Linked DNA regions of Oryzias latipes. The protein of the gene in region 1 interacts with the protein of each later gene in a biochemical or structural test. Links are inferred from orthologs where the notes say so. Each region holds a gene or a part of one and is shown on either strand. Other genes may lie near its edges. The genes, in order: parp1, chfr and aplf.

Region 1 (10,255 bases):
GTTAAACTGAAAGCAGATGGGTCCTCCATGACTTCTGCAGACGAGGCTTTTACCTTCTTCCTCCTTCACCTTGCCGCTGCTCTTTGCAGCAAGAGCTCCAGACTTTGAGGCTGCAGCTGGAGCCTGTGGCTCTACTTTAACCTCCACGCCCCATGTTGAGATGGCGTGCAGAGAGACCAGCTCCTGAAGAGCTTTGCCTGAAGACTTTATGTCTAGGAGGAAATCCTCAGAGACCACGCGCACTCCGGCGTCCCGAACTTCCTCCATCTTTTTTCCCATTTTCTCCACCTCCTCTGAACACACAAGAACAGAGAGTGAGTTCAAGTTGAGAATGCTCACACTGCTTTCCCTGGGGTGTCACTCACTCTTGGTGCTGAGACAGAGAGACGCCTTGTTGGCTGAGCCGGTGATCTTTCCACCCATCTCCTCCACTTCAGCCTTCAGCTCCTCCTTGTTCTTGGACAGTTTTCCAACAGCCAGCAGCTTCATTCCAGTCAGAGGTTTATCTACAAGTCAACAGGACAATTTCTTTGCATGTTTTTCTCCTACTCAGTGTTCAGTTGGTTCAAAACTGTGGGCTCAATCCCACCTGCAGGTGCTCCTTCTGGCAGCTGCTCCTTCAGGGCTCCAGATCCACTCGCCAGAGGTTCAGCTTTAGCTGTTGTCAATGTTTGGGTCGGAGCTTCTTTGGGATAAACTCGGTCTTGACGCTTGAACTTGAACTTTTTCAAAAATGGAACTTCATGGAATTCCTGAAACAGCAAGCAGAAGTTTTCCAAGCTTTTTCAAAGGTTTTTGAGGTACTGGGCTTTAACGAGTATCCGAATACCTGGATATTCTCGATCTGTTCTTGAAAATTCGAGAACGAATATTTACGACATCCAAGATCGCTGACTCGTGATCTTTATAAATACAAAAATATAATTTAGGCAGTGTAATTAGCGCTCTAAAATGCAGAGCAATGTTGGATTATAAGTATATAAACTAAACAGCGTAAACCTATGTTACAGGAAGTAAAACGGCGATTAAAATTCTATTTTTTAAAGTAAAGGTATAGAGTGTTTTGTAGATAAAAAAAATGAGACCAAAGTTCAGTTTACTAAATTACGTTCTGAAAAAAAAGGATAATATAGTTGACAATTTGAATTTTTTATTGTTGATTCTGATCTGTTCAAATAAAAAGGTATAAAAGATGATGTTTAAATACACATTATTTTATTTTTCATACATGCAGTATAAAGATGTATGATAGTTTTTTTATCATATATCTTATTGTATCATAAATCGTATGAAATTAAATAATTAATATTATTTAATTTTAATAACTAAATAGTAAGAATTGTGGTTCAATCTCTGAATCGTTTCTCTTGAATCGTGAATCGGATCGCCACCTGAGTAACGATCCACGGCCCTAGAGATCCATGCAGGCTCACGTGAGGGACACACCTTCGGGATGATCCAGTCTTTGCGCAGGGGTGTTGCAGTTTTGAACACGCACTTAGTCCAGGCTGAGATGTCTCCTGTGCAGTAATACGCATCCCCTTTAAACACCAGTTGACCTTGGCACTCGTTACAGGCCTCCAGAGCCCCGAAGGCCATACCGTCAGCCACTCTGTCGACCACCTGAGTTCAAAACCGGCAGTGAGTCACCAGAGACTTTGGCTTAAGCAGCATAGGATTCTTCATTTGTGACTTTTTCTTACGTTGGACTCCCCAGAAGGAACTTCCTGACCGTTTGCAATCAGCAGCTCCTTCATGTCGTTGGTTGAACAGTATTTCCTGAGTTTGTCCTTAATCCCCCAAATTAGCTGACTTTGATTCTGCAACCACAACAACACAATCAATCTATTAACAAGAAAACAAACAAAATTAATCTTGAACATAAAAAAAGCACCTTTAAATTCTCCACCAACTGTTTATTCTCTTCCTCCTCTTCTTGCTTCAGCTTCTTTGAAACTCCGTCCAACTCGTCGCCTGGACGTTTTCTGCAAATGTAATTATTATCATAGTTACAGAACAAAAAATACTAAGAAAAAAGAAATAGAAAGCATAAAGAGTGAGGCATTTCTCCCCTGCAGGTGAAACTATTTTGTAGTCTGACAGTGTCCTGGACCTCCATTTACAGAACGGTGGAAAACTGTTCTGGGTTCTGGCTCCCAGTTTGGAGCCAGAACCCAACTTCATCCTGTTTTTTTTTTTGGCTTTCCACTTCTTCAGGGGGTTGAATCATTGAGTGGAATCTTTAAACTCCTGAAGTAATAGAACCAAGGTTGATAAGAAGAGAAGATCCAGTTTTTCTGTTGCAGAATCATTTTTGACGAAAAAAGGGTACCAGCTGGGGTCTGGTAGAACCTGACCAGTAGATTCTGTGGGACGTGAACCTACTTCAGCTTCATCAGGAAGTTAAGAGTCTCGTCTGTGTGAATGAGTCAGGTGTTTTGCCTAAATAAGAAGTTACCTCCCAGGTTGCTGCCCTAAACCAGTCCATTCGTTTTTCGACCAAGCCAAACAAGATGATGAGAAAACATCCCATTAGGAACCCAAATAAGGCGCACAGGGATGAAGGTGACGGCCATGATGAGGAACAAACAAGCCTGCGTGTGACACCTTTCTTCATGGAGTAGACTCGTGAGGGTCTCTGCAGCAAACGGACACAAACAAGCAAGCTGGTACACGTCTGAACGCTCCCAGGGGCCGGGGGCCAGAGCAGCTCCTGTGACACCTCCATACCATAAATGACCATCTGGAGGACAAAGCATCAAGACAACGGCTGACATGAAGTAAAGGACAGAGGGGTGTCTGGTTTTCTGGGTGGGGGGGGTTGATGATGAATCCTTGATAGGTCTGTGGAGCAGATTGGTGAGACGTTTGGATGTTAACATGAATTTTACATCTGAAATTTGCTCTTTTGCAGGAGAGCTATGGAGAATGAAACTGTGCCACTTATTGTTTTCCAACAAACCAGCAACTCCTGGCTTCAGTTCTTTTTTCAGTATCCCCGCAACTTCACCAACCGGCTCTCCGCCACCACCTCCTCCCCTTCTGCGCCACCAGCTGACCCGGTGATGCACCCAAATGTGCCATACATGGTGGCCGAGCTCGTGATCGCCTTGTGCTCCACCTTGGGGAACCTCCTGGTCTGTGCTGCTGTGGGTCTCAACCGTAAGCTTCGCACCGTCACCAACTACTTCTTGGTCTCGCTGGCGGTAGCAGACATCTGTGTGGGAACCATTGCCATTCCCTGTGCCATCCTGACCGACGTCGGTCTACCGCGCTACAACTTCTACCTGTGTCTGCTAATGCTCAGCGTGCTGATAATGTTCACCCAGAGCTCCATCTTCAGCCTGCTGGCAGTGGCTGTGGAGCGTTATGTCGCCATCTTCATGCCGCTGCGTTACGGCGTCCTGATGACGCCTCGGAACGCCCTGATGGTGATCCTCGGCACGTGGCTGCTGGCCTCCCTCATCGGCTTGGTCCCCCTGATGGGCTGGCACAAGAGACCGCCAGATTCCAGCTACTGCTTCTTCGTCCTGGTGGTGGACATGACCTACATGGTCTACTTCAACTTCTTCGCTTGCGTGCTCGCACCTCTGCTCATCATGTTCCTCATCTACGCCCAGATCTTCCTCACGGTGAAGCAGCAGATGAGGCGCATCGCGACTGAGAAAGGTGAAGGATGGGAGCGACAGGGCAGGACGGCAGCCACCATGCGCAAGGAGATGAAGATGGCCACGTCGCTCTTCCTCGTTCTTTTTCTCTTCACAATCTGCTGGATTCCGCTCCATGTGATCAACTGCTTCCTCCTGCTTTGCCCAAAGTGCCCCGTTCCGCTGGAGCTGCTGCTCACCACCATCATCCTGTCCCACGCCAACTCTGCTGTGAACCCCTTCCTGTATGCATACACCATGACGGCTTTCAGGGACGCCTTTAAGGCCATTTTTCTGTGCTGCAGGTCGATGGGAGAGGCAGAGATTTTAAGTGGAAACAACAGAGGAGATGAGAGAACTTCTAGACCAAACCAAGTCTGTGAGAGCTGAGTCAAAGCTCTTAGTCAAACTTTTATATATATATATATATATATATATATATATATATATATATATATATATATATATATATATATATATATATATATATATATATATATAGTTTTTGTTACTCCTCACCCCTCAGTTTTTACAGCAGGAAGCCTCTTCTTCAGCTCCTCCTTGTCTTCTGCCCGCAGCACATTGAATCCCTTCAGCTGAGCAGCGCTGTAATCAGGTTTGAAAGCCAGCTCCTCTCTGCGGCTCACAAAACATGCAGTGTGGTACCAGCGGTCGATCAGGCCCAGCTGAGGCTTCTCTGCATCCACCACTTTCTTAGACACACGAATCTGATCCTGGAGGAGAGGTCAGAGGTCACAGGCGTGCTTTCCGTTAATGAACTGTTTAAACGAAGCTGCAGCAAACCTTTTCTATTTTCTGCTGACATCCTTTGCACGTGCTGCGGTTTGATTTGGCGTACTCCACCGCAAAGTCGTTCAGCGTCTTTTCTCCTTTAGCCGCACCACCAGAGTTTCCCTTTCCTGCAAGATGGAGACCTCAATTTACCCCGCTGTGCTTTAAGTCAGAATTTTCAACAACCTACAAAAAGTAAACAAAAGCGACTTTCCGATGACTAACATTCACCACGCTGATAAACGTCAATTCATTTCCCGTGTGCACAAACAGCTCAGACAAGCACAGACCTGTTCCGGCCACTCCACCACTTTCTATGGCTTTTTTGACAGCTTCCTGGTCCGCCCAGCGGAGATCCGAAAACCCGCCGACATCGGCCGTGGACTGCACCGAGGCTCGCTGCCAGAAGCAGGAGAAGTGATGCCAGTGAGGGACCTTCCCGTCGAACATGGGGGACTGCGGGACACAGAGTAAACATAGGCGTGAACACATTCAGCTGCAGAGTTATAGTTTTCAGTCTGTCTGTATCTGCCGGGTTTGGATGATTCTGGAAAAAAATGATGGGTTTGCTGCTCATATCAGATCATCTGAAAGCTCCAGTGTAGTTTGGTGGTGAATTGAACAAGATAGTTGAAAAGTTGAACAAAGAACAGACAAAAAACATTTTTATGAGACGAGTAAAGGATGTAAAATAATTTAGCAATACCGTAATATTTTTTGAAGGTGAAATGGGAGGAAAAAACTAACCCTTTGAAAAAAATAATTGTACTATTGTCGCCATGTCCTGCTCCTTTTAAAAATGACTTTTCTCAATTTTTCTGTACAGTTTAAGAAAAATAAGAGGCTTTTCAAATTATCTTTAACATTTTAGCTGTAGTGACTCGCCAAAACAAAAGCGCAATTTTGTTTTTATTTAAATCATAAAAAATACCTTCAAATAAAAACTTGAACATCTTTCTAATTCCACAAACAAATACAAACTGTAATAAAAGTTTTGTTTATATATGTGTTTAATTATTATTTTTACATTTTATTCCTTACGTTTAGATTTAAATTGCTCGCCTTAAATTAAACATTTTAACTGTTTATTTAATAATATCAATAACCATCAATTGATCAGTCTGAAGGATGGGAAATTTACAAATATAAATCTGAATACAAATGATTTAAATATATATATATATATATATATATATATATATTTTTTTTTTTTTAAAGTTTAGTTGGTGCCAATTTTTACTCTGTGCTTTTGATATAAAATTTTTGACAATAAAAGCAATCAGTCTAGATATGATCTATTTTTTTTTTATAAATACCTGTGATTGATATTTACATTTTTCATCCTAATTTTTAAATTTGCATTAGAAATTAGTTTTATACAATTTACTGGATTATAGATAATAATTTTTTTACCTGCATATTAATTTACTTGAATGTCAACGTATTTTTCCAAAAATATAAATTCTACTTGCATTAATTGCTTGTAGAATAATAATTAATTATGCAAAGTTTAGTATTTCAAATCCATCTGCTGAAACGGAAGCCTGTGGTAGACAAAATACTAAATGAATAAATAAAAGGAAAAAGCGAATGAAGTAAAGAAAGTAGTGAGCGGTACACGTTCCCCCGAAAGACAAGCGATAGAATCACCAAGACTGAGTCAGACTGAGAGGCAGCAGTGATTTTTCCTCACATTTCTGCTTGAATGCCGGAAAGTGCATTTATTTGGAGCATCTCTGCGGCTCTTTGTGCGGAAGATTTAGCAGCCATAAATGCTAACGAGGGCCCAAACCAGTCCAGACGAAACCGGAACTACTCAGGCCTATATATCACATTTTCAAAAACACACTTTTATTTTTTTTTTACATCTGCTGAAGCTGCTTGGTAAACAAGTGAGTCTGTAGGAATAATTCCGCTCCCGGGTGTTTCCTTGGACCGCCGCTGCTTACCTGCACCACGATGGCCATCCTCAGCGAGTCCTTCGCGATTTTCTCCTTGCATTTCTTGCACGAAGCCTGGCCGCTTTTGGCGTACTCTGCTCGGAACAGCTTGTCATTCTGGGAGTCGGCCATAGCTTCCCTTTATCCTTAAAAAGCTGAACCGAAGACGACAAAGTTTCTCCACCAGAGCACGAGGAGCAACAACAGGGACAACGCGAAGAGCAGCGAGCAAGATCCAGTAAAGAGGGCTTACTCTGACTCTTTTTTGTCAAACCTCCGATACAAGCGTTAGTTGCCAATGGACGCTGAACCTGGGCGCATGTCCACAAATATCTGATAGATGCGGGCATATTTATCCAGATAGCTACAGAAATCACAGCTAACCGAACCTAAGAAACGGGGTTACATACTTCCATTCCTTCAGCATATCTTTCAAAACATCTTTGCATGCAGAGCCTGTAGAATGGAAGTTTATGTTTTTTGTTGTTGTTATGAAAATCATATTTATTGTTTAAGTTATCCATACTCACAAGCTCTTATTTAGAAATTTAGAAAACAGCCGGCTTCTGATATTCCTTGGACATCATTAAAAGAAAATGACAATTGGCTTTTCTGCAGGAAGCTTCTTTTCTTTCTGCTTTCATTTACTTACTACCATTCTACCTTTTCTTTCGTTTTCTTTTATCTATCTACCTATCTATCTACCTATCTATCTATCTATCTATCTATCTATCTATCTATCTATCTATCTATCTATCTATCTATCTATCTATCTATCTATCTATCTATCTATCTATCTATCTATCTATCTATCTATCTATCTATCTATCTATCTATCTATCTATCTATCTATCTATCTATCTATCTATCTATCTATCTATCTATCTATCTATCTATCTATCTATCTATCTATCTATCTATCTATCCATCCATCCATCCATCCATCCATCCATCCATCCATCCATATCTATATATCTAATTTTCAGAAAGTAAATAGTTTAAAGTAAATTAGACAAAAAAGTAAGACGTACAAGAAGAAATATGATTTTGTGAAGATCTCTTGGTATGTAAATCACTTTTTTCATTGAAAAAAATCAGATGGACAACATAATTATTATCCTATAACTGTTGGAATAAACTGTCAATCGTGGAAATAAATCAAATATTACATTTTTTGTGTGCATGTATACTTCTACTTTTTGTTACAAGTTTTTCTTCATAATGCAACTTCTTCTGTATGTTTATGTTTTTAAGTCTGACCTTAATAAGAAGAGCTAGGCTATTGTTTTCGTATTATTATCCTTAGATGTTTTTTAGAACAATGGTAATTTTTTTGTTCAGTTTTGTCGATTGGAAGAATTAAAGAAAGAACTTAAGATTTGATCAACTGAAATATATTTATTTATAAATTTATTTAAAAAAACAAAAACGAAATATTATTATTTATGTATATTTATTTGTCCTCTTGGTCATTCCTCAGGAGCCACTCAACCGCATAAACAACACTCCTCTAAAATATGTTCAACAAAAAGTATTCAAACTTGAAATGTTTCATAAAAAAATGTCAAGCGATCCATTTTTCACAATAGACGATATTTGGATACCTCACAGAGTACCCGCGCTCGCTTCAGTCTAAAACAATCGAATGAAGAGAAGTCGATCCTTGCAGTCTGAAAAGAAAGTAAATCCTTCACTTTCAAAATTATAGGTTTCCATTCCATGTAATGGGTACGTTTAACCAATAAAACTTAAATTGTATGACTAGTGTGATAAAAGTAGAATGCAATAAGTATTAAATCGTTTTTTAAATTATTTTAAGTATCAAAAACAGACAGAAAATGTGTTTATTTGATGGACGGCAATCATACAATTAAACATTTCTGTAAAAAATGTATAAAAGCATGGTATACATGTAAAATGAACAGCACATGATGTCTAAAACACCAACACGGTTGCATTTATAGAGTTCGTATGGAAGATACAGACAAAAACCAACTCATGTGTGATGAAATAGAACAGGGGTCTGCAACCTGTGGCTCCAGAGCCACATGCTGCTCTTTTATCCCTTCATTGTGGTTCTTTTGCTTTGAAGAAAAATGCTAACATTTTGAAGAAATAATAGGGTTGTTGGTCATTTATTTTTAGATTTTTAAACTGAGGTGAACTTAGATGAGAAAAATGTACGTTTTAACCACTACGTTATACTAAATCAAGAGCCCTTGACACGTTCACTCCATAATGCAAACATGTCAAATACAAGCAATTAAATAGTAAAAGATCTGATTTATGTCAGAGTGGTTTCTTTTTAGAATAAGTTCAAACTCACATTCTTTTCTTAAGCCTAGTTGTCTTTCAGAGACAAATGTATTAAAGTATAATCGCTGCAGCAGGGTCTTATTTGACACAGGATACATTTTATTTTGAAAGGAACTTGTCTGTGCAATGGTAATATAACACTGTTATAATTCAATAATTGTAAATGTTTCAAAGCTACATTTTATGAATAAATAAACAAATGACTTAATGACCGCAAAAATATAAATTTAGAACATTTTTCTAAACAGTAGAGTGTGACTTTGCAGCTCTTGCTGGGTTTATGGCTGTTAGAAACTGTAACAAATGGCTCTTTGAGCGCTAAAGGTTGCAGAACCCTGAACTATAGAGTGTGATTTAGCTGTTTTTTAGAGGTATTCTAGTTTTTGGCTCAAATGTTTGATATACCTTGCAATACAAGATATGAAAAAAGACATGTTGGCTTTTGTTTTACTGTAAAAATGGCAACAAGAAAGCTAGAAAAAGCAGAGATCCCCCTAATATTTGCTGTACTTCACAAGAAGTCAGTGGAAGAGAAAGGCCCATTCTAGGAAACGTTCCATTTCCAATCTCCTCTTGGTAAGTTTAGAAATAGACTTTTCCAACATGTTCTTCTCCTAACTCGTTGGGTTGATGGACAAAACCTGGAATAAACTCTGCAAGATCCTTGGAGGATTTGATCCACCCTGTAAACATGCAGGAACAGCCCTGCCTGGATGAGTCCTCTCCTCTGCGTGCCTCTCAACACTTCAGTTTGCAGGAAATCAGACCAAAGTTACTGTTGGTTTCTCTTATTTTCTCCTTTTGTCGGGCTTGGACCAGCCCAAATACGACCTCGGCTAGTGTCAGGCGTCCTGATGGGCGCCCCCCAAGCCTGCTGTACTTCCCAGCATTGCCCTGCTTACTGCGCGTGGTGCTGATGAAGTATGTACGCACTTTTCCCTGGCACTCACTTACCTGCATTAAACAAAAAATCTTTTTAGGTTACTCCTTCAATTTAAAATGAATAAAAATTAAACATTTTCCTTTTAATAAAGCTTTCCTTACGTTATCTGCAAAGTTACCACAGACTATATGGACTAGGCTCAGCCCCCACTCACCCCCTTGATAAATATTTCTCCTCGTAGCTCCAGGGCAAAGCCCCACTCTGACAGGACTTTTCGGGTGGCTTCAGGCACCTGGATTCGTCCACTCACTCCTGTGGTGTCCATACGACTCGCCAGGTTCACTGTCATCCCCCAGATGTCATACTGCGGTTTGGTGGCTCCGATCACCCCCGCAACTACTGGCCCATGAGCAATTCCTTAAAAGAGTCCATCATGAAATCTTGGTCACTGGTCTCAGATTCTCCTCACTGTTTACTACAATAATGAAATCGACTCACCGACACGCAGCTTAAAACTCTGAGCAGAGAGCCGGTTGGTCTCCTTCAAGGTCTCCTGCATCGCCAACGCAAACAAAACCAGCTCGCTCAGGTGATTCCACTTATCCATGGATGCCTGGAAAACATAAATCCAGACGAGTGAGTTTCCCTAAAGAAATTCAACTGAAATGACTCTGAAA
Region 2 (10,155 bases), on another chromosome or scaffold:
AAAAGAAATCTGTCTTTGCTAACATGATTATTAGCATAATGGTGTGCTTATAATATTGTTATATTAGAAAAATTATTAGAGCTGGGTTGATAAAATCGATTTATCTATCTGAATCAATCAAAGTTTAATAAATCAATAATCGATCATTGAGGTAGAGATTGATCTTTCCTTTTCTGGTGACCTAACGCATAACAGTCAAAAAGTCAAAGTCTGCTAGCTTGATGCTAACATGGAAAGGAATTTTCCATAGGACTGCTAATGCTAACGCTCGTTGAATATAAACATGCATTGTTGACTAAATGAATAACTTCATATACTTACAGACACGAATTTTCCAAACTCTATTTTTTAAAGTAAGCATTTGTGATTTAAAGCACAGTTTTTTTCTCAAATAATGGAATAAAAGTGTAATGCTTTTAGCGCAAGTGGCTAAACTGAAACGGCCTCCTGGAGAGGCAGAACATGATCTGCACAATTCTGTTGGAGCTTCTCCTTTAGAGAAATCATGTAACACTGGATGGTCTTAATAGTCTCACTGGGAATTATTTCACTCATAAATTTTACAGTATGTGAACGGTATCTGATTAATATACATTTCTTCAAAACATATAAATTCAAAATTGAATCGAATCAAATTCAATTGAGTGGATCGAAAGAGAATGTTTGAATTCATCCAGGGTCTGGTGAACCTAATCAATTCAGGAAATTTTTGGCGATACCCAGCCCTAGTAATCATCTTAAGATATGTAGAAAATGTTTATACCTTCTGCCCAAGTTATTTTTTGGGTCATTCTATTGGTGTTTTTGCAGAAACTGGTGCATACCACTGAATCGAGACAGACAGCCTTGACATCCAATCCTCTGGCAACCCCAGTACATGTGACAGAAAGGCTGCTGGCACAGCATACCTGCACAAACATCCTAACCTTAGGGTGTATGATGGAAAAACCTGGCAGGCTTTATTGATAATGCTGATGATTAACACGAGAGCATTCAAATATCCGTACACAGATTCAGTTGTCCGTGTCTAGTTACATTCAAGTTTGTGTGAATATTTGCATACACACATTTTATGGACACAGATGTTAAATTTGTGCAAAAGAGCTTCCAGTTAATCAGCCCACTCACACTGTTGAGCAAAGCCCGGCAGACTGCTGAGCTCTGCCCGTCTGTCCGGCATCGGCTGGAGGCAGCAGGTGCAGAGGACATGGCGACCCTGAGGGGGGCAGCAGTACACCTGGGAAGCTGTTTGGAGGAGGAAAGCAAAAGAGCAAAATGAATCAAATCCAGTTTGATAAAAAAAAATTAAAAAGCACCAATTTACAACCAATTCAAAGCATGTCAGAAAATCCGGCTTATAAAACAAAATCACTACATTTTCAGTGAGTTTGAATCAATGGTGGTGTTTTAAATTTCACATTTGTCAGTTCATAAGTGATGGGGAGCTAAAAGTTTGTTTTGTCAGTTTCACTAATCAAAACTACCGACATCCAATTTACTAGAGGGACATCTGTACATTCATACAATCTGCATCCATATCTGGAAAAGATCAAATTTGAAAACTGTACTTGAAGACAGAATTAATCCTTTAACGCTGGACATGTTACCAGCGAAACCTAAATAACACACGCTCTTTAATATACTGTAACTTTTTGAGCGTTTCTGAGATCAGCATGAATCAGCTGATTCTGACCAGGAGAAAAGTGGCTTTTCTCTTTGGCTTGCATGAAGGTGGAAAGCCGCTTTTCTCCCCTTCGGAATCCACTGACGTTTAGTTAGTTGCATAAACGGTTGAAGAGTTACGGTAATTAAAACAAAAACAAAAAAGTCAAGTTTTGCCCTTTTATTTTCTTAACAAAAGGCCAAATGAAAAGCATCTGTTGGCACAGATTTACACAACTTGTACAAATGTTGAAAGCTGTAAAAATAACAGCAACTATAAAAAGTTGCATGTACACAGTTACTTTTTTTCCCCCATTAATTTTCTATCAGCTATCACTAGACTAAATTCCAGCCTTCTGAAAAGCACAACTGTATATTGAAACTTTGAAATTCTATAAAATAAGTGATGGTCGTTGTTCTTCTTGAACTTTAGACGTTTTTTATTTTGCTCATTTATTGAAACACAATAAGATGAGTGAAGCATTAATGGGCAAACACCTGATGTGGCTTCAGAGGATGTTGAGGGCTGTTCTCCTGTCAGCTTTGCTGCTTCCTCTTCACCTGCTGGCTTGGCTGATGAGAGTACAGCTGGTAGTGATGGCAGACCAGCAAACCAGCAGTTTGAACTTGTGGTGAGCAGCACTTGGCTCATGTAGCTCCTGTAGCCGGGACACTGTCTGCACATCACTAAAGGCTGACTGGGGACAGAGATCCACATTAGGTCACATTTTGTTTTATTTTCAAAAACATGGACCATAAACCTTAAAAGGGAAAAAAAAGCTAAATTTTGGTGATTTAGAACAGAAAATACATTTTTGTATAAATTATTGACAAACAACAGCTGCATTCGTCTTAGTCATGAGTTACAAATGTCATCTTTTACTACTTCAAATAGTTAGGTTACTTATAATATTGTTAAAAAGAATAACCACCATTATTATGATATTAACAGTTCTTCTACCAGTTTTATTAAAAAAGAAAGATTAATATTTCACACATTGTAGGTGAAACAGAAAATGAAAGCAGCTCAAAACCTGTTAAATCTCTGTCTAGACGTTTGTAAAGGAAGCAGCTCTACATTATGCAACAATTCAGCCTTTCCTAAATCCTACTCAAATCAGTGAGCAGCATTTAATGTAATCCAGCTCTTGCTTTTCTTTTTCTGCAAAGCTGAAAACTAATAAACTACAGTGGGGCAAAAAAGTATTTAGTCAGCCACCAACTGTGTGGGTTCTCCTATACTTAAAAAGACGAGAGAAGCCTGTCATTTTCATCATGGGTATACCTCAACAATGGGACCCAAAATGAGAAAAGAAAATTTTGGGGAAAAACAAAAATCACATAGTCGCATTTTTGAAAGAATTTATTCGTAAATTATGGTGGAAAATAAGTTTTTGGTCAATAACAAAAGTTGAAAGGTTTTTATAAACTGTTGCTGGTATTTTGGCCCATTCCTCCATGCAGATCTCCTCTAGAGCAGTCATGATTTGGGGCTGTCGCTAAGCAACACAGATGTGTGTTTTCATGATGTTTTTTGGATGTAACTCAGCTTTCTATCTCCTTCAAACACAACGAGAAAACTTCCTACAAAACAGTTGTATTTTGGTTAAATCTGACCATAGGACATTTTCCCAATCCTCTTCTGGATCTTCCAAATGCTCTCTAGTAAACTTTAGTCGGGCCTTCACATGTACTGGTTTTAGCAGGGGGACACGTCTAGCACTCCAGGATTTGAGTCCCTGGTGGCATAGTGTGTTACTGATGGTAGCCCTTGTTACTTTGGTCCCGGCTCTCTGCAGGTTATTCATTAGGCCCCTTCGTGTGGTTCTGGCATTTTTGCTCACCGTTCTTGTGATCATTTTGACCCCACGGGGTGAGATCTTGCGGAAAGCCCCAGATAGAGGGAGATTATCAATGGTCTTGCATGTCCTCCATTTCCTAATAATCGCTTCCACAGTTGATTTCGTCACACCAATCGGTTTATCTATTGCAGATTCAGTCTTCCCCAACCTGGTGCAGGTCAACAATGTTGCTTCTGGTGTCCTTACACAGGTCTTTAGTTTTGGCCATTGTGGAGTTTGGACAGTTTGAAGTTGGGGACAGGTGTCTTTTCTATAGATAACCAGTTCATACAGGTGCCATTAATGCAGGTAACAAGTGGAGAGCATAGGATCCTCTTACAGAAGAAGTTAAATGTCTGTGAGAGCCAAAAATCTTGCTTTTTTCTTATTTTGTCAATCATAGTTGAGGTATACCTGTGATGAAAATTGCACGCCTTTCCCATCTTTCTAAATGAGAGAATTTGCAAAAATGGTGGCTGACTAAATACTTTTTTGCCCCAGAATCTTTTCATCTGTTTCTGATAGACAACAATTTAAATACAATTTTGAACCTAATTTTCTTCATACATGTCCCTCCATCATTAGAAAAATGGCACAAGAATATGTTAAGAACACAATTTCCATCGGAGTGGGTCTTTTAAAATCACATGGTTTTTAGAACCCATAGAAAAACATTCAAATTCGAGTTTTCCTATAGGGATTCATAAACTGTGTCTGGTCTCTGATCATCTTAAAATGCTTGAGAAAGATAGAGAAGGGCAAATAAGGTTAGCTGAGATGCAAGCACAGGCAGTTCTCTTACCTAGTGTCTGAGGAGTCGCTGTCATTATCAGATGATTCAAAGAGGTAGTCGGAGCTGCCCTCTTCATCAGAAAACAGACGCTCCACTTTTGGCTGCAACATGTCTTGAGTTATCTTGTTTCTGCTGTCCATGCTCTTCAGGTCCTCCTCACTGCGACACTTTTCTGCCAAAAAAGGAAAAGCCACACTTTTCATCTGAAATAAATGAACAAAAATGTAATAAAATGCAACTAGGCTGGTCTTTAAATGTGCAAACCTGGATGCTGTGTGAGGTATGCCTCCACCAGGTTATTGAGGAAGTGGTTTTTACAAATCCTCTCTACAGGACAGCGGCACGTCGGGCAGAGAGATGAGCGCTCCATCCAGCCTGAGTAACAGGCGGCGCAAAAGACGTGCATGCAAGGCTGCAAGCTGAAGCAGACAGACTATTGAAACACACATGCAGCACTGAGGTGGGCCTGCAGACAAAAAGATCGGTTCCCTCGCAGATCCATGCTTGAACCACAGGTACCTCAGATCTTACCTGATACAGTCATGCAGCAGGTCCTGGCATATAACACAAGTCAAGGATTCTTCCATCTTATCCGTCTTGGTTTCTTTAACTGCTGATTTTGATGAGTCTTTGTCAGCTGATCCAGCCACTTCAGGACAGGCAGTGAATGGCAAATCTGATGCACACTCTTTATCTAAAACTTAAAAAACAGCAGCCACATATAACAATAGATTTGGGCAGATACCAAACTACGCATAGAAAATAATGGTTTTAATGACATTAAAATAAGGCAAAACCATAATCAGGTAGTTAAAAGACTAAAGACTAACCATCAGACATTTTCCTCCTCTTAAGTTTAGGTTCCAGATGGTCTGTATCATGTTTTTGTGCAGGAGCTGCATGTTTAGGTGGGCCTAGTAGGATTGAAAAAACCAACAAAGACAGATCAAAAATGTGATAATCCTAATAAGATAGAAACATTTGTAGCAAATATACAGATTTGAACTTCCACACAGACTATTTATTCACTTAAGACAAAACCATGCTTTATTAGGTTTGGGAAGAAAAAATGGGGTCGGATTGAACAGCCAAAAAAAGATTCAAAACAGAAAAAAAAAACTCCCTCGCGCCGCAAAAACTGAATCTCAAGAAAATAAAAAGACAATTGTTTTAACAAGAATTGTCTTTTTTTGTCATGCACGAACAATAATCTTGTCACAGAAGTGTTTCAATGGCAAAATAATCTTAGTTTAAGAAAACATTTTGTAAATGACTAGAGTTTTATTTTAAAAAAAAGGAATTCTCTGTAAGACCATTTTTACCCCATTGGCAGAGTTATTTTAATATTTTTTTTTAGAAAAGGTTTCAAATGTTAAGCATTGTTGACACATTTCTAGCGGGCCTGTTTTTGCAGTGCAGAAGTAAGTGGTGGCCAAAATAAACACTACAAGTTGTTTCTGAACACAAACCTAACCCTTTAAGCAGATTCTTATCAAGACTTGTGTGTGCTAATTTTGCTAAACAAAACCAAACAAAAAGTTACCCTGCACTAAACTAATCTAATATAATGCCTTTAGACATTTACATATTTAATGCAATCATAAAAATGTACTTTTGTAAAGTTTACATATAGTTCTTTACACTAAAAACATTGCACAGTTCTTAAAGTGAACAGGAAGCGTAACATGATGGGACGAAGTTGATCGCTTCTGTTAGTTAGCCCAAACTAAACCTGACATTTGAGAGAATTTCTCTGCCTTTTGTGGTCTGCTGCTTGACCTACAGAAACCAACATAGGAAACCAAAAAACTGAATCCATAGCAGGTCATTTTACACATTAGATGGCAGGATGCTTCCACATGCGCTCGTCTGTCAGTCCCTCAAGTGGATTGTTTTAACAAAGATACAGTCAAAGCACTCCAGCATTTTCATTACCTACATATGAGCATTGGGCCATTAGAGGCTGCAAATCCCTCTGTGCTGACCTAAATTTAATGATTTAAGAAAATATGATTGTTTTGTTTATTTTAAATATGCAGTTAACATGACTTTATACATACAGTAGTCTTCATAGTCCTTATATGATGACCACTTGGTTTTTGCTGACATAGCTGTACATTTTCTTAATCCACTCAGATTCCAGCTAGCTTGTGTTGTTCTATGAAACCTTCAGAGTTGACGGTGTGCTGCAAGCAGCAGAGACAGAAAACTGCAAAGGCCAATCAGATGAAGTCTGACACCAAGGCCAGCTGGAAGGCCTAACGCTCATGACTCAGCTAACTCAATGGGAGGCAGTTTAGGAGTTTACTTTTGAAATTAAAGTAAAGTCTATGGTCACATAAGCAAAACTTGTTACAGCCATAACATGTTGATGTGATTAAAAAATATCTTTTGTGTTATGGAAAGAGAGTTTTTTTTCCTGCCTGGTGGAACATCAGTCTTAAAAAGCGCATTGGTTACCAGAGGATGAAGACGTTGTGATCACTGTGGTGCCAGAAGAAGAGGGATTCTCAATGCAGAAATGGGAAGCAGAAGTTGAAGGCTTTGGCTCATCTTGGGCCAAGTCTCTGGGAGTCTTTGTGAGGATGAGTGGCTCCACAGAGAGAATCATCTCCGACTCTGGAACAGCTGAGTAACTCTGGGCTGAACTCTCCATGCCTGAAGTTTGAAAACAGTATGGAGTGTAAATAAAAATGTTGGAAAACCTTTTTGTGAAGAGTCAGTGAGATCTTACCATAGCTGTGTAGTGACTCGCCCTGCTCCATCTTGATAGTGTGGTAAACATAAGCAATATCTATATTTAAAATAAAATAAAAGAGTTTTTGTACAACTTTTCACACATTCATATACCATGTCATAGTTTTTTGCCTTTCTTCATCATAAAATGTAATTAGATTATTATCTAGGACAAGTCATAAGAATATATGAACATTTTGTGCAAAACCATAGAAAATAAGAAACTTAATCTTAATTGAGAACCACCATTAAAATAATAAATCTATTGGAAGGACGAGGTGAACCCCAAAGTTAATGACCTCAAAGAAGAAAACTGGTGTCAGATCTGAACATATCTGGAATGTAGTTGGGAGAACAAAATGTGAAGTGATGGTGAGGTCAACTTTTAACTGATGGAACACTAAAACTCAAAAGTAACACACTAAGATAAAACTGTGAACTTTGGTTTACCACGGAGAAAATCCAGATCATCCACAGTTCCAAAATATGAATTCCCAATGAGCTGGAGAAAGTTAAAAAGTTACTTCAAACATGTTGGAAAAGGAAATGCATTGTGACTGTGGCTAAGAAACCAAGCAGCAGGTACCCAGTACAACTGCTCATAAAAGGACAATAAAGACTCATGGATAAACAGCAACCCCAGAACTGGCGAGCATCTGTGTTCTAGAGTCTACAGGACGTAAAAAACTAAGAAGTCAGAGTGTGGTTGGACAGACCACATGAAACAAACCACTAACAACTAAAAAGCTTTGAGAACTTTTTGGTGGACTTAAAAAAAAAACAAAAAAACTGCACATTATTACATGTGTCGTAAAGTATGGCGAAGGAAGCATCCTGATATAGTTGTTCTTTGCTGCATCAGGGCCTGGTCGGCTTTCATTCATTCATAGAGAGGAGGATGCTGTTAAAGGACCTAAACACAAGCAGAAGCTGCAGTGGGCCCAGACACACATGACTCATTTTCAAACAGTCCTGTTCCCCGTTGAGTGCCTTTCAACCCTGGATGGTCCAGATGGAATGAGTACTGACTGGTTGGTGGATGGCCACCATGTCACAACAACGCTGCGACGTCCGCAAGGAGTTGGCGGAGTCAGGTTTTGGCCTGCATCAAAGGGGCCGACCATGAGAGAGCTGGTCGGCCCTTAAACAAACCTTAGGAGGTTTGTTTAATAACAATTATTATATACTCTAATGGGGCCTGTTGCACAAAAGTAGAATTAAGACATCCGGGATAAATGACTGAGCTGAGCTCAATGAATCCAAAACATGTCCGTCCAGGCTTAATCGGTTGCACAAAGACCAAGCCAGGATGAGCAGACACGGATTCATCAAGCCAGGTGTAACCAATCCTGGATAGGTGCGCGCTCACGGCTCACTCAAACAGACCCCTCCACAGATCACAGATAAACTGATTCACCATGGCAACTAAAGCCGCGTACCTTTCCCCGTCGGAAGCACAAATCCTCATGGAGGCATACGAGGAGGTAAAAGATATAATTAAGAAGAAAGGCAACACCACCACAGTGATAAAGCACACTCAATAATTTTTTAAATTAAATTACCAGCCAATTAATTTTATGAAAATGTAACTTGTCATTTCAACCAGAAAATGTTATGTTTGTAAATCTTACGTGAATGAATCATGTCGATCGTACATAAAAATAATCCATTTAAAAGTTACTAATTTCAATCATGTTGATCCAACATGATACCGTTAAATTGGATACATTAGTAATCGCAAGGAATTGTGGGATTCCATTTTCTTTGTCTATCTGGGCAGATTGGGGTCTAAGTGTGAGTTTTTGTCCATGGGTTTTATTGTCTAGCTGTTTTACTCTGTTTTAACTAGTGATTTAAACTGTTATGGTTCTTTTTTTTCTGCACCATGAGTTAGAGTGTGGGAGAGGATGATGACCAACCCCCTTGTGCGGTGCAGTATTAAAGTTACTGTGCTTAAGGAAGAAATCGCGGTATTGGAACTCTTGTCTTTTGATGTGGGACTCTGCTGTGTAATTCATGTCTTTGATGTGAAAGTTATTGGCTGTATCTTTCGAAAACATTATCAATGTCAGATGTATAAATAACATTAAAGCAAAAAATCAAGATATATCAACATAACTTGTGTTGGGTAGTCAGAAATTTAAGTTAAATAAAATTAATTTAATGAGGTGTGACCAATTAAAGTGATTCAACTAAGTTGGATCAACTTTTATTTTTTGAGAGTGAGCAACTATATTAATTTAAAGTTGGGTCCAACTGCAGTATTTAAATTGAATCAACTTACACTTATTAGTTTGAACCTAAGTACATTAAGTAGGACCAATATGAGTCATTTTTGTTCAAGTAACGCTATCTAACCATGTGGAAATCATTTCCATAATTTTTTTATGTTCATTCAAAGTGAACGTTTTTTGAGTGTAGTTTACCTGCTTTGTTTTATCCTTATTCAATAAAGGAACATAATGTTACACATTGTGTTTTTATATTCATATGGAATGTGTATTATTTTATATGACAGAGTACTAGGGCCCCACTGAGGAAAAAGGATAAAGTCATAAATTTATGAGGCTGGTTCTTTCTGCAGAAAAGCAACATATTCTTTTTACAGTTCTGATAGTTATGACAATGTGATACTTCATATTCTGGCACATCAGCATGTCTTCGTTTATGAAACCATACTGAAGTACAATTTCACGAAATACCCCACATCTGTCATTTTAACAACTGTCCTCCTTTAAAACAACTGGTTACAATATTATGACTTGTCTTTTTTTTCCCTCTGTGGCCCTAATATTCTATCATTTTATATATAGCCTTATAGTCTATGGGACACTGTAAATTATCTAATGATAGCAACATCATCTAAAACTCATTTATCCAAAATGATTGAAATTAATGATCACAAACGTTTAAATAATGACCGTGGGTCTAGTTATATGTGATAACAATGTATAGTGAGCAGTGAAATAACTATTGGTTTCCATTTGTGGCGACTGCTGACTGACATTAGGGATGAGATTAAATAGATCCTGGAATTTAGCCTGGTCTGGAGCAGGCTAGCTCCACAGAATAAATCTCCATGGTATTTCATACCATAACATATCCTCCTGCCCCCTATCCAGC
Region 3 (10,255 bases), on another chromosome or scaffold:
AATCTATGTGGAGAAGATCTATGTGGAGTATATCTACGTGGAGAAGATCTATGTGGAGCAGATCTGTGTGGAGTAAATCTATGTGGAGAAGATCTATGTGGAGTATATCTACGTGGTGATTAGATTGCGTTACTTGAACAAAAATGAATCATGTTGGTCCTATTTAATGTATTTAGGTTCAAATTAATAAATTTAAGTTGATTCAATTTAAATAGAGCAGTTGCACCCAACTTCAAATTAATATTGTTACTCACTCTAAAAAGAAAATAGTTGATCCAATTTAATTGAATCACTTCAATTGGTCACACCTAAGTAAATTAAGTTTATTTAACTTGAATTTCTATTTATTTCTATAATTTTATTTATTCATCTGTAATTGATATGTTGTTCCAAAGTTACAACCAATGGGTCTTTTAATTTTCACATCAAAGACATGATTTACCCAGCAAAGTCCATCACAAGACAGGAGTTCAATTACCGCGAACTCTGTGTTAAGTATTGGAACATTAACAGTTTGCCACACAAGGGGTTTGGTCTTCATCCTATACCAAACTTTAACTCATGGTGCAAACGAAATAAACACATATCAGTTTAAATCACTAGTTAAAACAGAGTAAAACAGCTAGACAATAAAACCCATGGAGAAAAACTCACACTTAGACCCCAATCTGCCCAGATAGACAAAGAAAATGGTATCCCACAATTCCTTGCGATTACTAATGGATCCAATTTAATGGAATCATGTTGGATCAACATGATTGAAATTATTAACTTTTAAATGGATTATTTTTATGTAAAATCGACATGATTCATTCACGAAAGATTTACAAACATATAATTTTCTGGTTGAAATGACAAGTTACTTTTTCGTTAACTTAATTGGCTGGTAATTTCCTTTTTTTGAGTGTATGTGGAGAAGATCTACGTGGAGAAGATCTATGTGGAGAAGATCTGTGTGGAGAGGATCTGTGTGGAGTATATCTATGTGGAGTAGATCTATGTGAAGAAGATCTGTGTGGAGTAGATCTGTGTGGAGTAGATCTATGTGGAGTAGATCTATGTGGGGTAGATCTTTGAGGAGTAGATCTATGTGGAGTAGATCTGTGTGGAGTAGATCTGTGTGGAGTAGATCTATGTGGAGTAGATCTGTGTGGAGTAGATCTATGTGGAGTAGATCTATGTGGAGTAGATCTATGTGAAGATCTGTGTGGAGTAGATCTGTGTGGAGTAGATCTATGTGGAGTAGATCTATGTGAAGATCTGTGTGGAGTAGATCTGTGTGGAGTAGATCTGTGTGGAGTAGATCTATGTGGAGTAGATCTATGTGGAGTAGATCTGTGTGGAGTAGATCTATGTGGAGTAGATCTATGTGGAGTAGATCTATGTGAAGATCTGTGTGGAGTAGATCTGTGTGGAGTAGATCTGTGTGGAGTAGATCTATGTGGAGTAGATCTGTGTGGAGTAGATCTATGTGGAGTAGATCTATGTGGAGTAGATCTATGTGAAGATCTGTGTGGAGTAGATCTGTGTGGAGTAGATCTATGTGGAGTAGATCTATGTGGAGTAGATCTTCTGGGTTCTTCCACTAAAACTCGACCATGAAGCTGAACATCCACCTGACAGCATCCAAATGAAGCTAAACGAATATTTCAATAAAAATATTTTTTATCCTGAATGTTTTTTCCGTCGTTTATAACCCCCACCCCGCGCGCGCGCGTGCTTCCATCCGATCCCGCATCATTTATTCATTCGGCGGGTGTCGGATGCTGCGGCCTGCACGAGGAGGCCGCCGCGTGCGCCGACGCCGCAGTCTTTGTCCGGTGTCCCCCACGCGCGCCCATCTCCCGTGTTACACAGGCACGCGCCCGGGTTCGCGCCCTTACGTGGCCTCCACGGTCCCGGGCTTCAGCACCACCTCAATCTTGTACTTGGAGCCCGTCAGCAGCTTGATGGTTCGGGTCTGGCCGAACCGGGTTCCGTCCACCTTGAAGAAGACCGGACCCTCGTTGGGCTGGATCCGCAGCGCCACGGAGATGCAGATGAGGGGGGGCACGTCGTCCATCGTCCCGGGATGCTGCTCTGCCGGACGCACGAGCTGGAGATGCGCGGATGCTGAGGGGGGGTGGGGGTGGGGGGTGGGGGTTGCAGACGGCGTCAGCGCGCTTCCGCTCGACGCCTTCACAATAAAAGCCGGTTTTTGTAATAACTAATAACTTGCTGAAAACGAGCCTTCATCCGTTCTGACCCGAACTAAACCTTCAGTCCGGTTCGACCCCCCCACCCCCACCCCCACAGGGCCTACACCTACACAACTGTTCCAGAGAAAACTTTTATTTTGTAATAAAATTGGTGTTTTCTGTCATACTCAGGTCTGGATCATTTACAGTCTCATTCCAAGTTCTTGTGGGGGTGGAGGGTTGGGGTTGGGGTGGGGGGGTCATCTGTCCAGCTCAGCCTGAAGGATCTCCCCCCACGTCTCTGCGTCCAGCGGCGTCATCCTCCTGCCACGCAGCTCCGCCACAGAGCGCACGTGACTGTAGCGCCCCGTCAGCCAGTCGGCCTTCAGGCGGCTGCGGGCGTAGTTCCTGACCACGGTGACCTGCAGGGGGGCGGAGCCACACGTGAACCGGGAGAACGCACTGACCACTACACCACCGTGCCACCCTCCACCCTTATCCAGAAGCAAAGAGGGAGACGGACAGCTCAATGGCATGAGGAGGTGCGATGAGGAGGAGGTCAATGACCTTCATCATCAAGGAGGTCAGGGACCTTCACTTACATGAGGGTCATGTGATGAGGGAGGGGCCTCAGAGGGAGGCATCAGAACTCCCCCGCCCCCCCTATAACCTGGCCATATTGGGGGAGGGGGGAGACCAGGCTCACCTTCCAGGAATGGCCGTGGCTCCTGTCGCGGTCCACCTCCCTCTGGCAGACGGCGCGCACCACCAGGCCCTGCCCCCTCCACAGCTGCTCGCTCTGCTGGATGACGGCGTGCCACAGCCGGCAGGTCTGCGAGGCGCGGCACAGGCTGTCAGCGTCCAGCTGGCTGAAGATCCGCACGCTCATCTCCAGAGGAAGCGCCTCCACAAAGTTCAGAGGGGGGCGTTCGGGGGGGGCTGCCATCAGGGTGGGGCTTCCTTCCATCGGGTGTGGGGGCGGAGTCTCTGCAGGTTCATCCTGCATCATAAGGGGGGAGGGGGAGGGGGCGACTGAAAGATGAAAGACATTTATGGGGGTGTCAATCAGATTTTAGCACGTGGATCGTGTAGTCTCAGACCCACCTGGTCTGCTCCTCAGGGGTCCACAGCAGTCCGGGATCCGGATCGGCCTTCAGAACCTTTTCATGTGGCCTCACTTCCGGTCACGTTTCAAAAACGTCACAGGTGCTGAAGACAGAAGTCCTACCTGCTCTCTGTTTGGCACCTGAGCCTCGGACGTGGGGGCGGGAGGCGCACGTGACCGAAGCCTCAGAACCGGATCAGGGCTCAAGCGGGACCCCCCACCGGGACCCCACCCCCACCTCCGTCTAAACGAGTGTTTTGGGGGAGAGCAGCTAGCAGACAAACGCCGCCGGTTCCGGTCTGAACTCCGAGCAGAAACGGAATCGGGTTCTTTCCCGAGACGCTGAACCACAGGGACGCAGTAATCAAGCGCGGACAGGACACGGGGTTTGATCCCGACAGCTGACTGTTTAAATGTCCCAACGGTTGTTTGTACACAGACGTGACGTCATCGTGAATTTAAACCACGCGCATGCGTAGAAAGGCCTCACTGTCAAAAAACCAAACTCCGTTGTTTTTAAACTTTTGTAATCTAATGTGAAATTTAAAGAGAAAATATTCTTACTTAAAATCCAAACAATTTATCTTTTTTTGAACGTTTTTTTCTGCGCAGGTCAGTTTACTGATCAACACTTTAACTTCAGGCTGACATGAACATGTTAAGTTTTTGTTTATTTCAATTTTTAATTACTCAAATTGGATCTTTCGTAAAAATCGATGGAAATTTTAACTTTTTTGCTGACACCTTAAAGACACCACTGCGCATGCTCCACTGGAAACCGGAAGTCTGGATTCAAAAGTAGCGGAAGTTGTTCCCGAATTCACCTGCGGCTCTCAGACCCGGATTTCATAGTCCAGATCCGCAGAGACCCGGGTCAATTGGACCCAACGCATTTTCCGAACCGCGTGTGTTGATAAACTCTTCCCGCCAGCCGGACCCCCCCGCCTCCGGAGCTCATGTCCGGCTTCCTCCTGGTCCCGGTGGATGGCGGGAATCCGGTCCCCGTTCCGCCAGGGGAGACGCTGCTGGGCCGGGGTCCCCTGCTCACAGTGAGTCCCGCAGAGTGTCGGGTCAGACAGAGGCGGGGCACGGTCACGTGACTCCGCTGCCACAGCTGGCAGGTGATCACCTGACCTCTGACGCAGAACTGGAGCTGGTACCCCCCTCAGGACAAGTTCCTGAGGGGACGTGGTGTGAGGGACGCTGATCCTCAGCTCCATCGCCTCACAAGTGACTGAGTGTTTCTGTCTCCACCCCAGATCAGCGACAAGAGGGTGTCGAGACGCCACGGGCTGCTGCAGAACCTGGACGGAGAGCTGCGCCTCAAACCGGTACCGACCCCCCCCAGACACACACTCTCCTAGAGTTCTGAACACGGCGAGGTTCAGGAGGACGCCGCCGTCACGTTTTCGGTTCTGCTAGAGTTTGCATGTAGAAAATCCAGACGGTTCTGGTTCCACAGCGACCCGATCGGGTCTTTCAGTTCAGGGTTTGATGATGTCACATCCGGCCAAGATGGAGGAAACCACTGACGTTACATGAACAACGCAACCCGTCACACGGTTTGACCAAAACAGAACCGGATCTGTTTGAGTCCGGTTCAGCTTTACTGAAACGGTTCTGAAGAAGATCCAGGTGGAACTTCAGGCAATCAGAACCATGTGGATCCATCCAGGATGACCTCTGACCTTCTCTGTTCTGTCTCTGCACCTCCTCAGAGGAGGAGCCGTGCCGTCTGCAGATGGTCCTCCTGGTGTCTTCGGGCCTCCCCAGATCCCAAACTGATGCGCTCATGTCCCTCCCCAGACCCACGCCAACCCGTGCTTCATCCAGGCCTCCCTGTCCTCGGAGCCCCGCCCCCTGCCCCAAGGATCCTGGTACACGCTGCGCGATGGCGAGCTGCTCTCTCTGCTGCCGGGGCGGCTGGTCTTCAGGGTGGAGGCCGTGGGCTCCAGGTATTCCAGGAGGGTGTGGGCGGCGCCGCTTTTGTTTGAAGCTGGGATCAAACAGACGGAGGAAGACCCTCCAGCTGATGAAGAGCTGCTCCTGCAGGAGCTGCCTCACGTCTCTGTGTCCTGCAGGAGCATCCGGAGCGCTGAGGAGGAGGAGCAGCTTCCCGCCTCAGGAGAAGGTCAGGAGGGTCCAGCAGGAGAGGAGGGGGCGGAGTCAGACGGGAGATCCCGACAGGTGGGTGCCCCGCCCACACCGTTATGTCAGGCCCTGCGCTGAAGCATCAGGAAGGAAACGGTCCTCGAACCCTCGTTGTCCTTTGAAGTCCGGCCTTTGATCTTCACAGACCAACATGGAGGATCAGAGGCACGCCGCTCTGTCTGAGGTCAGGGTTCGAACCCTTCCTGCCTGGATGATGGCGGCCGCCGTGCAGACCCCAGCCCTCATGCTCAAAGGTAACTGTGGCAAACGGTGCAAAGATTCATGGGTAAAAAAGCCAAATTCAACCAGAGAACCCGAAGGAATCTCTGTATGCCAGGGGAACGCTCAGAACACGAGAGAACACCTGGACTCACCTGAGCGGAACAGCAACGTCCTGCAGAGACCATCTTTGGCTCTTCCTCAGAAATTGCTCTGATCGCTTAGAAAGAGCCGGATCCAGTTCTGATCTGACTGACCGGTTCTGTCTGGTTGTGGTTCTGCTCTGTAGAAGCATGTTGTTGGTCTGATGGGGTTTTGTGTGTGTTTAGTTCAGTCAACTCTTCAGAGGAGGAAACGACCTGCTGGCGGTGTTCAGGCCACGCCCACATCGAAAGAGGAAGAGGAGCAGAGAAAGAGGAAGATGAATGCTGAGGAGGAGAAGGCACCTGAAACGGTTGAGTAAAGCGGTGATGAAGATGCTGAAGCTAAAACCTGCTGAGCTTCTCTGTCTGGAGGTTCCTCCTGGACGGTTCTGAGGAACCCGCCATGCAGACGGTTCTAAGGAACGGTTCTGAGGAACCCGCCATGCAGACGATTCTGAGGTTCTAAGGAACAGTTCTGAGGAACCCGCCATACAGACGGTTCTGTCGGTCTAAGGAACGGTTCTGAGGAACCCTCCATGCAGACGGTTCTGAGGTTCTAAGGAACGGTTCTGAGGAACCCGCCATGCAGACGATTCTGAGGTTCTAAGGAACAGTTCTGAGGAACCCGCCATACAGACGGTTCTGTCGGTCTAAGGAACGGTTCTGAGGAACCCGCCATGCAGACGGTTCTGAGGTTCTAAGGAACGGTTCTGAGGAACCCGCCATGCAGACGATTCTGAGGTTCTAAGGAACGGTTCTGAGGAACCCGCCATGCAGACGGTTCTAAGGAACGGTTCTGAGGAACCCGCCATGCAGACGATTCTGAGGTTCTAAGGAACAGTTCTGAGGAACCCGCCATACAGACGGTTCTGTCGGTCTAAAGAACGGTTCTGAGGAACCCGCCATGCAGACGGTTCTGAGGTTCTAAGGAACGGTTCTGAGGAACCCGCCATGCAGACGATTCTGAGGTTCTAAGGAACAGTTCTGAGGAACCCGCCATACAGACGGTTCTGTCGGTCTAAGGAACGGTTCTGAGGAACCCGCCATACAGACGGTTCTGAGGTTCTAAGGAACGGTTCTGAGGAACCCGCCATGCAGACGGTTCTGAGGTTCTAAGGAACGGTTCTGAGGAACCTTCCATGCAGACGGTTCTGAGGTTCTAAGGAACGGTTCTGCGGAACCCTCCATGCAGACGATTCTGAGGTTCTAAGGAACGGTTCTGAGGAACCCGCCATGCAGACGGTTCTGAGGTTCTAAGGAACAGTTCTGAGGAACCCGCCATGCAGACGGTTCTGAGGTTCTAAGGAACGGTTCTGAGGAACCTTCCATGCAGACGGTTCTGTCGGTCTAAGGAACGGTTCTGAGGAACCCTCCATGCAGACGATTCTGAGGTTCTAAGGAACGGTTCTGAGGAACCCGCCATGCAGACGATTCTGAGGTTCTAAGGAACGGTTCTGAGGAACCCGCCATGCAGACGGTTCTGAGGTTCTAAGGAACGGTTCTGAGGAACCCGCCATGCAGACGGTTCTGAGGTTCTAAGGAACGGTTCTGAGTAACCTTCCATGCAGACGGTTCTGAGGTTCTAAGGAACGGTTCTGAGGAACCCTCCATGCAGACGATTCTGAGGTTCTAAGGAACGGTTCTGAGGAACCCGCCATGCAGACGATTGTGAGGTTCTAAGGAACGGTTCTGAGGAACCCTCCATGCAGACGGTTCTGAGGTTCTAAGGAACGGTTCTGAGGAACCCGCCATGCAGACGGTTCTGAGGTTCTAAGGAACGGTTCTGAGGAACCCGCCATACAGACGGTTCTGTCGGTCTAAGGAACGGTTCTGAGGAACCCGCCATGCAGACGGTTCTGTCGGTCTAAGGAACGGTTCTGAGGAACCCGCCATGCAGACGATTCTGAGGTTCTAAGGAACGGTTCTGAGGAACCCGCCATGCAGACGATTCTGAGGTTCTAAGGAACAGTTCTGAGGAACCCGCCATACAGACGGTTCTGTCGGTCTAAGGAACGGTTCTGAGGAACCCGCCATGCAGACGGTTCTGAGGTTCTAAGGAACGGTTCTGAGGAACCCGCCATGCAGACGATTCTGAGGTTCTAAGGAACAGTTCTGAGGAACCCGCCATACAGACGGTTCTGAGGTTCTAAGGAACGGTTCTGAGGAACCCGCCATGCAGACGGTTCTGAGGTTCTAAGGAACGGTTCTGAGGAACCCGCCATGCAAACGGTTCTGAGGTTCTAAGGAACGGTTCTGAGGAACCCGCCATGCAAACGGTTCTGAGGTTCTAAGGAACGGTTCTGAGGAACCCGCCATGCAAACGGTTCTGAGGTTCTAAGGAACGGTTCTGAGGAACCTTCCATGCAGACGGTTCTGAGGTTCTAAGGAACGGTTCTGAGGAACCCTCCATGCAGACGATTCTGAGGTTCTAAGGAACGGTTCTGAGGAACCCGCCATGCAGACGGTTCTGAGGTTCTAAGGAACAGTTCTGAGGAACCCGCCATGCAGACGGTTCTGAGGTTCTAAGGAACGGTTCTGAGGAACCCGCCATGCAGACGGTTCTGAGGTTCTAAGGAACGGTTCTGAGGAACCCGCCATGCAGACGGTTCTGTCGGTCTAAGGAACGGTTCTGAGGAACCCTCCATGCAGACGATTCTGAGGTTCTAAGGAACGGTTCTGAGGAACCCGCCATGCAGACGATTCTGAGGTTCTAAGGAACGGTTCTGAGGAACCCGCCATGCAGACGGTTCTGAGGTTCTAAGGAACGGTTCTGAGGAACCCGCCATGCAGACGGTTCTGAGGTTCTAAGGAACGGTTCTGAGGAACCTTCCATGCAGACGGTTCTGAGGTTCTAAGGAACGGTTCTGAGGAACCCTCCATGCAGACGATTCTGAGGTTCTAAGGAACGGTTCTGAGGAACCCGCCATGCAGACGGTTCTGAGGTTCTAAGGAACAGGTCGGAGGAACCCGCCATACAGACGATTGTGAGGTTCTAAGGAACAGTTCTGAGGAACCCGCCATACAGACGGTTCTGTCGGTCTAAGGAACGGTTCTGAGGAACCCGCCATGCAGACGGTTCTGAGGTTCTAAGGAACGGTTCTGAGGAACCCGCCATGCAGACGGTTCTGAGGTTCTAAGGAACGGTTCTGACGAACCCTCCATGCAGACGATTCTGAGGTTCTAAGGAACGGTTCTGAGGAACCCGCCATGCAGACGGTTCTGAGGTTCTAAGGAACAGTTCTGAGGAACCCGCCATGCAGACGGTTCTGAGGTTCTAAGGAACGGTTCTGAGGAACCTTCCATGCAGACGGTTCTGTCGGTCTAAGGAACGGTTCTGAGGAACCCGCCATACAGACGGTTCTGTCGGTCTAAGGAACGGTTCTGAGGAACCCGCCATGCAGACGGTTCTGTCGGTCTAAGGAACGGTTCTGAGGAACCCGCCATGCAGACGATTCTGAGGTTCTAAGGAACGGTTCTGAGGAACCCGCCATGCAGACGATTCTGAGGTTCTAAGGAACAGTTCTAAGGAACCCGCCATACAGACGGTTCTGTCGGTCTAAGGAACGGTTCTGAGGAACCCGCCATGCAGACGGTTCTGAGGTTCTAAGGAACGGTTCTGAGGAACCCGCCATGCAGACGATTCTGAGGTTCTAAGGAACAGTTCTGAGGAACCCGCCATACAGACGGTTCTGTCGGTCTAAGGAACGGTTCTGAGGAACCCGCCATGCAGACGGTTCTGAGGTTCTAAGGAACGGTTCTGAGGAACCCGCCATGCAGACGATTCTGAGGTTCTAAGGAACGGTTCTGAGGAACCCGCCATGCAAACGGTTCTGAGGTTTTAAGGAACGGTTCTGAGGAACCCGCCATGCAAACAGTTCTGAGGTTCTAAGGAACGGTTCTGAGGAACCTTCCATGCAGACGGTTCTGATGTTCTAAGGAACGGTTCTGAGGAACCCTCCATGCAGACGATTCTGAGGTTCTAAGGAACGGTTCTGAGGAACCCGCCATGCAGACGGTTCTGAGGTTCTAAGGAACGGTTCTGAGGAACCCGCCATGCAGACGGTTCTGAGGTTCTAAGGAACGGTTCTGAGGAACCCTCCATGCAGACGGTTCTGTCGGTCTAAGGAACGGTTCTGAGGAACCCTCCATGCAGACGATTCTGAGGTTCTAAGGAACGGTTCTGAGGAACCCTCCATGCAGACGATTCTGAGGTTCTAAGGAACGGTTCTGAGGAACCCGCCATGCAGACGGTTCTGAGGTTCTAAGGAACAGTTCTGAGGAACCCGCCATGCAGACGGTTCTGAGGTTCTAAGGAACGGTTCTGAGGAACCTTCCATGCAGACGGTTCTGTCGGTCTAAGGAACGGTTCTGAGGAACCTTCCATGCAGACGGTTCTGAGGTTCTAAGGAACGGTTCTGAGGAACCCGCCATGCAGACGATTCTGAGGTTCTAAGGAACGG

Evidence for each region.
Region 2: of the proteins of parp1 (region 1) and chfr, one has a biochemical effect on the other in vitro, tested with the Homo sapiens proteins (2 studies listed by BioGRID). The link is inferred for Oryzias latipes from reciprocal best matches to the Homo sapiens genes PARP1 and CHFR.
Region 3: the proteins of parp1 (region 1) and aplf form a complex in vitro, tested with the Homo sapiens proteins (3 studies listed by BioGRID and IntAct, with this or other methods). The link is inferred for Oryzias latipes from reciprocal best matches to the Homo sapiens genes PARP1 and APLF.

Annotation. Positions count from the first base shown.
Region 1 is NC_019882.2:7,701,970-7,712,224, reverse strand, and holds the start of parp1 (poly [ADP-ribose] polymerase 1), read right to left. Parts: upstream 6,622-10,255; 5' UTR 6,512-6,621; coding exon 6,389-6,511; intron 4,896-6,388; coding exon 4,730-4,895; intron 4,568-4,729; coding exon 4,452-4,567; intron 4,382-4,451; coding exon 4,167-4,381; intron 1,986-4,166; coding exon 1,895-1,985; intron 1,821-1,894; coding exon 1,704-1,820; intron 1,624-1,703; coding exon 1,447-1,623; intron 753-1,446; coding exon 590-752; intron 507-589; coding exon 366-506; intron 294-365; coding exon 54-293; intron 1-53. Other genes in the region: adenylate cyclase type 8-like, read right to left, coding at 9,434-9,649, 9,793-9,995, 10,077-10,191. UniProt on the Homo sapiens protein: Poly-ADP-ribosyltransferase that mediates poly-ADP-ribosylation of proteins and plays a key role in DNA repair.
Region 2 is NC_019867.2:23,125,093-23,135,247, reverse strand, and holds part of chfr (E3 ubiquitin-protein ligase CHFR), read right to left. Parts: intron 7,091-10,155; coding exon 7,031-7,090; intron 6,955-7,030; coding exon 6,757-6,954; intron 5,211-6,756; coding exon 5,127-5,210; intron 4,997-5,126; coding exon 4,828-4,996; intron 4,716-4,827; coding exon 4,561-4,715; intron 4,469-4,560; coding exon 4,306-4,468; intron 2,361-4,305; coding exon 2,161-2,360; intron 1,246-2,160; coding exon 1,129-1,245; intron 909-1,128; coding exon 825-908; intron 1-824. UniProt on the Homo sapiens protein: E3 ubiquitin-protein ligase that functions in the antephase checkpoint by actively delaying passage into mitosis in response to microtubule poisons.
Region 3 is NC_019859.2:722,785-733,039, reverse strand, and holds the start of aplf (aprataxin and PNK-like factor), read left to right. Parts: upstream 1-4,212; 5' UTR 4,213-4,238; coding exon 4,239-4,331; intron 4,332-4,541; coding exon 4,542-4,613; intron 4,614-5,088; coding exon 5,089-5,237; intron 5,238-5,363; coding exon 5,364-5,469; intron 5,470-5,578; coding exon 5,579-5,687; intron 5,688-5,981; coding exon 5,982-6,106; intron 6,107-10,255. Other genes in the region: CB1 cannabinoid receptor-interacting protein 1, read right to left, coding at 1,884-2,062; fbxo48 (F-box only protein 48), read right to left, coding at 2,438-2,599, 2,884-3,186. UniProt on the Homo sapiens protein: Histone chaperone involved in single-strand and double-strand DNA break repair.